2 linked regions of the Bombyx mori genome follow. The protein of the gene in region 1 interacts with the protein of each later gene in a pairwise test. Links are inferred from orthologs where the notes say so. Each region holds a gene or a part of one and is shown on either strand. Other genes may lie near its edges. The genes, in order: exportin-6 and nuclear pore glycoprotein p62.

Region 1 (4,276 bases):
CTACCTATTCTAGTGACCTCGAGGGTTCATGCTAGATTTAGAGAACGAGTAGGTGAGCTCACGGGGCTCTAACCTGGTGACGTTGCTAACACTAGCCCTAACAGGGGCAGTACTTTGCAGAATTTACCACCAGATCAGAAACGCGACCCACTGAGAAGATCCGGCAAGAAACGGCGTGTCCATGGGTTAATTTACTCGCCGAACCCTTCGTCGCACGTGATGGGTTCGACGAGAACGATAACCGGTACTTGAGATACCTAAAAGCACCGATAGTGGATCGGGAGCACCGGAAACGACGCGTCCCTTGTATACATACTCATCAATAACTTCAAGAGTTATCTACAATCATTTCAGATCTTTGAAAATTACATGACTTTCATATTTTTATTCATACCTCGACAATATTACTAAAGAAATCCTCATATAAATGTGGCCAATCATATTTGGCTATTGAAACCATAAGGTGGGCCATTTTGTTTCTTATGAAGTATAACATAATTTCATGTTTTGCCATTAATTCATTCCATAGTGTTAACCTGATCTCTGTCTTGTTTTCATCTGATATACCAATCCATTGTCTGTTGATAGTGTTCTGGAAGGAAATTTAAATATTATTTATTTTTGCATGGACTAGTGGTTGAAGAAATTCTCGGTCCGCTGGTGTTAAGCAGTTACCGGAGGCCATAGACATGAACAACTTAACCCACCTTGAGAAATGAGTCTCATTTCAAACATTTCAATGTATTTTGCTGACTTAAATTTTACTACCTGTATCTTTCAAGCTATTAAAGGGCTGAGATAAAAAAAAATTATAATATCATGGCTCATTAATTTAGTAAAGACGAAATTAAGTAATAAGGCTGTTCCTTGTTTTATTTCACACCACTTTTGTACTTAAAACTGTGTTTCAAGTATAATGAGAGGTTGATAATTAAGTTAAGCACTAGATAGCAAGGAGTACTAAAGTGTCAAATGCAGAAAATAATTTCAAGTTCAAAATAAAGTAGTATCTTTTTAGAGCAGAGCTTTGTTTCTGTAATTAAAAGGAAGGTTTACAAAGAAGAGTGATAATTTACGATTTGTTAATAAAACGAGTTATTTAAATTTATCATTTATACATTTTATATTTATCATTTATACAGCGGTAGGCAGCGGCTTGGCTAGCGGTAGGCAGCGGCTTGGCTAGCGGTAGGCAGCAGCTTGGCTAGCGGTAGGCAGCGGCTTGGCTAGCGGTAGGCAGCGGCTTGGCTAGCGGTAGGCAGCGGCTTGGCTCTGCCCCTGGCATTGCTGAAGTCCGTGGGCAACGGTAACCACTCACCATCAGGTGGGCCGTATGCTCGTCTGCCTACAAGGCCAATAAGAAAAAAAAAAAATTTTAGAAAATTACATAATAGCTTAATATAAGCACATTATATTTGACAGGGTCTTTACTACACACCATAGCAAAGGTGACATGGTTATATTCTATGCGATTTGAAATTTTGTGATGTGATGTCCTTTCTACCTTCTTTTGTGGATAATCTAATCTTAAGCACTTAATTAATTAAATAAGTTAGTCTGGTTCTGTGGTTGGGAAAAATAAAAGTCTGGACATGATATGGAACCTGTTAAGCTAATAGAAGGAAACATAGATCACTTCAAAGACAAAAACATATTGAAAGAAACAATGTAACCTTACAACGAAAATGTGCTTCTGGTTATTTATTGTATGTACCATAAAGGAATTTCTCACATTGCCATTAGTTTCTGTCTTAAGAGTGTCCAGCTAACAGCCCAGATCTAAGCCCATTACAGCATCTTAGGTGCGAAGTCAAGATATATGTTTGATTTGAAACATAATATTTCTCAGTGTGGTGATTTAAGAAAGCTTTATGAAGTCTAATAGAAGAATAGAACTTTATCTGCCAAGTTGATATTAAAAGCTATGGACTTGGTACTAACTATTAATTTTAGTTTCAAAAGTATTAAATACCTTTTTTTCTTTATACATTCACTTTCATATGATTTATATGATCTTAATTTCATAAAAAAAAACTAACTCTAAAGCAGTTTAATAAATCAATTAATTATTTGTAGTTTTGTTTGTTACCATGGGGGGGAATAAGTAAATTTTTTAAATAAAATTATTAATAGTTTTATTCTATGTATTATTTATGTGTTAAATAGATTTATGTGATTATTTCATAAAATAATTAGATACTTCTAAGAATGCATAATACACAAAACATGATTTGGGTTAAAAAAACCTGGAACTTCAAATTGTTCTTAATTATATGACCTCTGTTGGATGTGTCCAATACAGAGAAAATCAAAATGTGTCTGAAAGATTTGTACACTCATACACATTATCTTGCATGAACTTGTTTATACTCATTGACTTGCTAAGTTTGCATCTTGTATGAACTTGTGCACGCTTATGGACTAGTTGAGTTTTTAGAGGTACAACAACAATCCTACTCAAATATTAGTCAATCTTAGAAAAAGTGCACATGACGAAAAAAAATTTCCTCTTCGTTTCGTTTCAACCCGTAAGAAACCGATTTCTACTACTTTGGAAATTCCTGGTCATTTAGACCATAATAGAGCAATAAAATAAAATAAACCTTTACCTCTAACGTCGTTAGAGAGAACATCAAAACATACTGATTCTGTGACTTTTGAAGAAATAGGAGACAATGTTTCCACGAGTCTCTGCGATTTGAAAAGTCTTCCAGCATGCTTTCAATTTCACGTTTTCTTATATTAGTTGTCGTCGGAGCAAAAAACTCCGACATGAGAATATCCAAAGAGGCTAAAGCCTCGTCGATATGTTGTTCGGTCTGAAAATTTGTTTTAAGATACAATCAATGTGCTTTTAAACTTCCAACATTTTCTACTATTATTTCTTACCATGATTTTTTAAATAACATCTAAGAAATAATTTCACATTATTTTTATTATTATTATGAAATGAATAAGGCTTTATTCAAAACATTTAAATGATTTTTTTTGTAACGTTTTCTGTACAATTACTATTTATTAATTGAACAGTGTTTTCATCAACTTAAATAAAGTTTTTTTTTTATGTTTTTCCATCTTGACTATTTTTGACATTTGACGTATATTCAACTTCTATAATTTTTTTAAAGGGATTTTATTACCTGGTTACTAAGACTTTTAAGTCACGTCTTATTTTAATTTATATTATTTTTTTTATGAAAAATGATAAAATGGAGTGAAATAAAATGAAATGAAATGAAGATGATTAATTTGAGACATTAATCAACTGGGATGAAATTAAATGAAATGAGATGATATGGGATGAAATATAATCTCAGTAAAATGGTGATCATTTACTGAGATTTTTTCAGTGGACTTTTTGGAGGATCCCGAGAAGTTACGTCCAGCGGCTTTATTTCATTTCCCATATTTGTGCACTTTCACAGATATTAAACAGTTAATAAACCACCGTTATTACACGGTAACAAGCCGGCTGGTCACCGTGGAAGAGATTGACCACAGCCTTCAAAGAAACAATTAGAAATTGCCCAAAATCCGGAAATCTATCAACAAACAAGTTATACATAGCAACATATAACGCAAAAACCCTCTCTTCATTTGAAAGACTATTAGAGCTCGAAGAAGCCCTGAAAGAAATAAAGTATGATGTCATCACCCAGCGGAGTACACAAGAATGAAATCGACTATATACTGTCAAGTGTAAGCTATTCCTATATATAGAAAAGCTGAACCCTAACTTCTCTACAGACCATAGAATGGTAAGAGCTACAATAACTTTAAAAGTATCAAAGAAAAGTCGAATAAAATTTACTAACAACCGCAATAGTACTTTAAAAACGAGAGAAGCAATTGAAGCATACAAGCAAAATCTGAGGCATCAGATATCATCAAACTTCGTCGACTATCAATTGGAGACGACAGTGCAGGATTTTTATAACAAATTATTATATATTATCAAAGTCAGTCAGTCAAAAACACGACAGGTTAAGAATACCTTTACTAGACACAAAATTCTCTCAGAGAGGACAATTACATTATTAAATAAGAGACAAATGTTACAAAAAAACGCCAAGGAAGTCACGATTAGAAAAAAACGAACATATGAGCACTTTATAAACTGACGAGTAAATACATAAAATATGACTATATAAACTACCGGAATCAAAAAATACAAACTTACCTTACACGGGGAAAAAATTAAAAAAAAAGTAATAAAATAATTTCGAACAAATAAAACTTGGATTGAGAAATTAAACCAATCAGGACAAACAACCCA
Region 2 (4,257 bases), on another chromosome or scaffold:
TATTTAATTTTAATCAGAGTGCATGATTACTTTGCAGCAGAAACAGTGTAGTGTTAATGCTTACAACTAGGTAACTACTATATACAGACTGACATTGTCTCCTGGTTTCAACAAATTATTGTAATCAGAAGTTGGATTTAGAATAGTTACCTTTGTACCTTAAACTTAACAACAAAAATAACAGACAAACAAAGGAATTAACTGGAGATGATCTAAAAACGATTTCTTTTTTGGGATTGTAACAAAAACTTACAGTACTAGCTTGCGGTGCTGAGAAACCAGATGTAGGTGTTGAAAAACTAAAGCCAGCTGTCGTTGATGCCGGCTTCCCGAAGCTAAAACCTGTATTTGCACTGGAACCGAATGCTGGGGCAGCAGCTAAAACAACATGTTCATACATTTCCTTTTCTTAAAATTTCTGTTCACTTTATTACTGATGCAAGCAAGACGTACTGGTGAAGTAATTATAAATTTCGTTTGTAAGGAACAATGACTTAAAACTTTTCTGAACTTTAAGTCCAATTTTCATAATAGCAAAAGCTGAGCGCTAGTGCATTTACAAAAGCAATATTATTATCCTTTTTTTTAATTTTAAATTTATAATTATCCATGTCATCTGCCATGTCAAAATAATTATATTTGTCAATCCAGGTCTTAAGCTGTGTTACCATTATAATCGTCATTTTAGTATAATATCATTTATATATTCATTATAATAATAAATTTATAATATTATTATATTTATAACCAACCTTGTGTGGCAGGTGTACCGAATGCCGGTGGTGCTGTGGTGGTTGCACCAAACGACAGATTCTGGGCCTGTCCTGCATTCTGTGAAATATTCACTAGCATTACAAGGCATTAACACATGCAAAGGAGCACAGTGAACGACATATAAGAGTTATGTAGAATGTAAGCATTCTCGAACTAAGAAAGAAAAGATAAGTAGAATGTAAGCATTCTCAAACTAAGAAAGAAAAGATATCATTTTTTTCACAACAATTTAACAATGGCAGAACATTGTTTTTTTTTTTTTTTATGTCTTAGATGGGTGGAAGAGCTCACAGCCCACCTGGTGTTAAGTGGTTACTGGAGCCCATGGACATCTACAACGTAAATGCGCCACCCACCATGAGATATAAGTTCTAAGATCTCAGTATAGTTACAACGGCTGCCCCACCCTTCAAACCGAAACGCATTACTGCTTCACGGCAGAAATAGGTAGGGCGGTGGTACCTATTCGCGCGGACTCACAAGAGGTCCTACCACCAGTAAAATTTACAAATATAACTGATTTTTTTTCCACTTAATTTGGTGAAATGCAAAATACAGTATTGATCGATAAACGCAGCTGGAGACATCACACCAAACTGACGAATAGTTTGTTTAACAGGCTCCCAACAAAATTACTGTACACACCTGATTTGTTGCTTGCCCAAAGGCAGAACTGCCAACTGTCTGATTAGGAGGTGAAGTGAAACCTCCAAAGGGTGTTGGCTTATTCGCTCCAAAGCCTGCAGTTGTAGTCGTTGTCGATGGAGATGAAACTGCCATACAATACATAAGTGTGAGAGGCATTTGTTATGAGTAGAATGTTTTTCGTAATGTTTGATGTAAGCCTCTTTTTGAGCAGGTAGGTTCTCATTGTCTATAAAGAGTAGGGCAGGAAAGGTTCAAGGCTCTTACATTTTGTGATTCAGTAGTGTGGTGATAATTTTGATTAAGCACTATGTTATTTTGTTATTTGTAGGTCAATTCTATTTTAGTGTTAGATTCATTCCTGGAGTTTAATTTAACTTTAACTTGTATGAAAATTGTATTTAGAACATAGGATCTGAGTGTAAATAAATATTTATGAAATATTGATCATTTAAGAACCCCTTTGAGGGATAATTATAATTTTTTAAATAATTTTTCACATGTCAGCTAGGAGTGTTAATAGTTGTTTAAATATCTTTTGCATGTCTTTTGGCTATGGTTTAATTACAACCATACAGTATATTCAGCGTTAAGTAAACAAAGGCCATTACTTACATGGTGAAGGTGCTGCATTTGTTGTTTTAGCACCAAATGCAAAACTGCCAAATACTGGTGCACTTGTTGTGGGACTAGTGAAGCTGAATGTTGCTTTGTTTTCTGAGAGATTAAAAATATTATTTGCATTTTCTATATGCTTTTGGGATTCGATTCATGTTTGGATATCTAATGAGTGTACTTCATCTTTTCTGAAAATATCCATGTCTCTTGGTTTAAGAAACCAGCACCACTGTTAATAAATCTTGATTTATTAACAGTGGTGCCTTAAATTCCCTTAGTCCCTTAAATTTTTACTGTCTATTTTTGTTACTTGTAACAGAAAAATTCAGATTTAAAATATCGCTTGTATTTGTTACCGGAAGTTTTTGTACGCATCGTACCTGTGTTGGATCCACCAAATAACGGCTTTGAAGCGTCACCGCTGCCAAATGAAAATCCTGTAATTACATCCAATTAATTAATTTTTTGATCTTAACGTGAAAAAAGTGTGGTTATATTGTTTACATTGACAATTTAATTATTGTTTAAAAAAACATATATATCGTAGTTCGAATCGTATTGTAGAGTATTTCAATTTATAAAGCTTCAAATTGGAACATGATAATCAAACCAAAAAGAATTTACCTGTTGATGGTGTTGGTGTACCAAAAGTATTAGACGACGTTGTAGTAGTTCCAAAAGAAAAACTCATTTTGTAAACTATAGATAAACTTATGTAAAAGTAAAATAGTTTAAATGATGGAAGTATGTATATTTAGATATTTCAATAAATGTTTAGTAAGCACTACTGTTTGCCGCCGTTAGAAAATTTACCAACAGTAAGATTTATCGAGATATTAATCATTCGTTCAAACTTCAATGTGTCAAAAGTCACTTTTTGTTATGTCCGATCAGACTGGCAAAAGAAACGTAGCCAATTGATTTAAACTGGAATTGAAAACCTTGTGTGAGATCTCAAGCCAGGCAGATTGCAAGCATATTTTTTCCCGTGTTCTCATCGCAACCAATTCTAGAAAATGAGTGTCGGAAAGGAAAAATATATGAAAGATAATCGTGGCAAAAGAAGAAAGATAAGGCATTTAAAAGCTAAAACTATATTCTTATAGTACATAGTATAAAAAATACCTAACAATGTTTAATTACCCCATTTTTTCTCGTCACCTAATATGAATCCTAACGATAAATGTGAAACCGTAAATTATCTTTCCAATCCAACTCTCTATACTCTGTTCAATTCAAATCAATTTACTGTATGTGATTTTTAAAGGCAATCTCTTCCATACCTTTAAATCGCTTTTGATAACATCAGTTGGATGATAACAATAACAATTTTAGATGAAATCATCCATATCTTTTGCCACATCCTGAATTAAGCAAGTTTGTTCCAAAGTCGAGTTTGATGGTGTGTTCCAAAGGAAAGGAAAAAACGAGCCATCGCGGTAAAGCTTGTAGATTTGAAACATTGATATTACTTTGTACAAGTATAGATGTTTATATGGATAGCTTAGAATAGAAAATTGGTGTGGAATATGAAAAATACAATAATAAAATGAGACAGTCGCTTGTGCATGGCGATGCGTTGCCACGTCAGCAATCAAAAAAAGAGCTTAAGTAGCTTAGCATTTTTAAAGTATTTGTATATTTCATATTATTTTTATTTCATAAAACCTAATCCGCTTACATAGTAGTGGGGCCCCATTTTTTTATTTGCCCTGGGGCCCTTGGTTACCTTGTTAGCCACTGTTTATCTCGGCAGGTAGATTCGTGTTTCATGCTCGCATTACTATATCAGAACACTATTTTAATTATTTATATTTATTTTATTAAGCCACTGCTACTATTTTCGCATGAGAGTTATGGAAATGTCTAAATAAGACGTACATAACCACGACCACTCCGCTAGGAGTGTACGACTGAGAAGAAAAGAAAAAACTATCTCAGACGTGGTGTGTGTGGTTTTAAACTTTTTGAATAACAATCCATTGTATACAAGTGCACAAATATGAGGCGTAAAGTTTTCAAAGTAAGTTGACTACCTGCATACCTACCTACTTAATATTTTATCTGCCGTACTTATTCTCGTAGGTTCCATAGTGACCAATGAAGTAGGAAACCTATGGAAATGAAACGTCAACCAAAATTTCGTGCCACTGTGACGTCATCTGGCCACAAAACATGGCGGCTTTAGTGCTGTACAAAAGATTTCAATGTTATCAGGTT

Evidence for each region.
Region 2: the proteins of exportin-6 (region 1) and nuclear pore glycoprotein p62 interact in binary tests that used the Homo sapiens proteins (3 or more experiments, as listed by UniProt). The link is inferred for Bombyx mori from reciprocal best matches to the Homo sapiens genes XPO6 and NUP62.

Annotation. Positions count from the first base shown.
Region 1 is NC_085114.1:10,470,706-10,474,981, forward strand, and holds the start of exportin-6, read right to left. Parts: upstream 3,094-4,276; 5' UTR 2,893-3,093; coding exon 2,890-2,892; intron 2,820-2,889; coding exon 2,610-2,819; intron 593-2,609; coding exon 395-592; intron 1-394. UniProt on the Homo sapiens protein: Mediates the nuclear export of actin and profilin-actin complexes in somatic cells.
Region 2 is NC_085134.1:6,717,870-6,722,126, reverse strand, and holds the start of nuclear pore glycoprotein p62, read right to left. Parts: upstream 2,906-4,257; 5' UTR 2,729-2,905; coding exon 2,662-2,728; intron 2,475-2,661; coding exon 2,418-2,474; intron 2,137-2,417; coding exon 2,035-2,136; intron 1,548-2,034; coding exon 1,420-1,547; intron 832-1,419; coding exon 753-831; intron 379-752; coding exon 254-378; intron 1-253. UniProt on the Homo sapiens protein: Essential component of the nuclear pore complex. The N-terminal is probably involved in nucleocytoplasmic transport.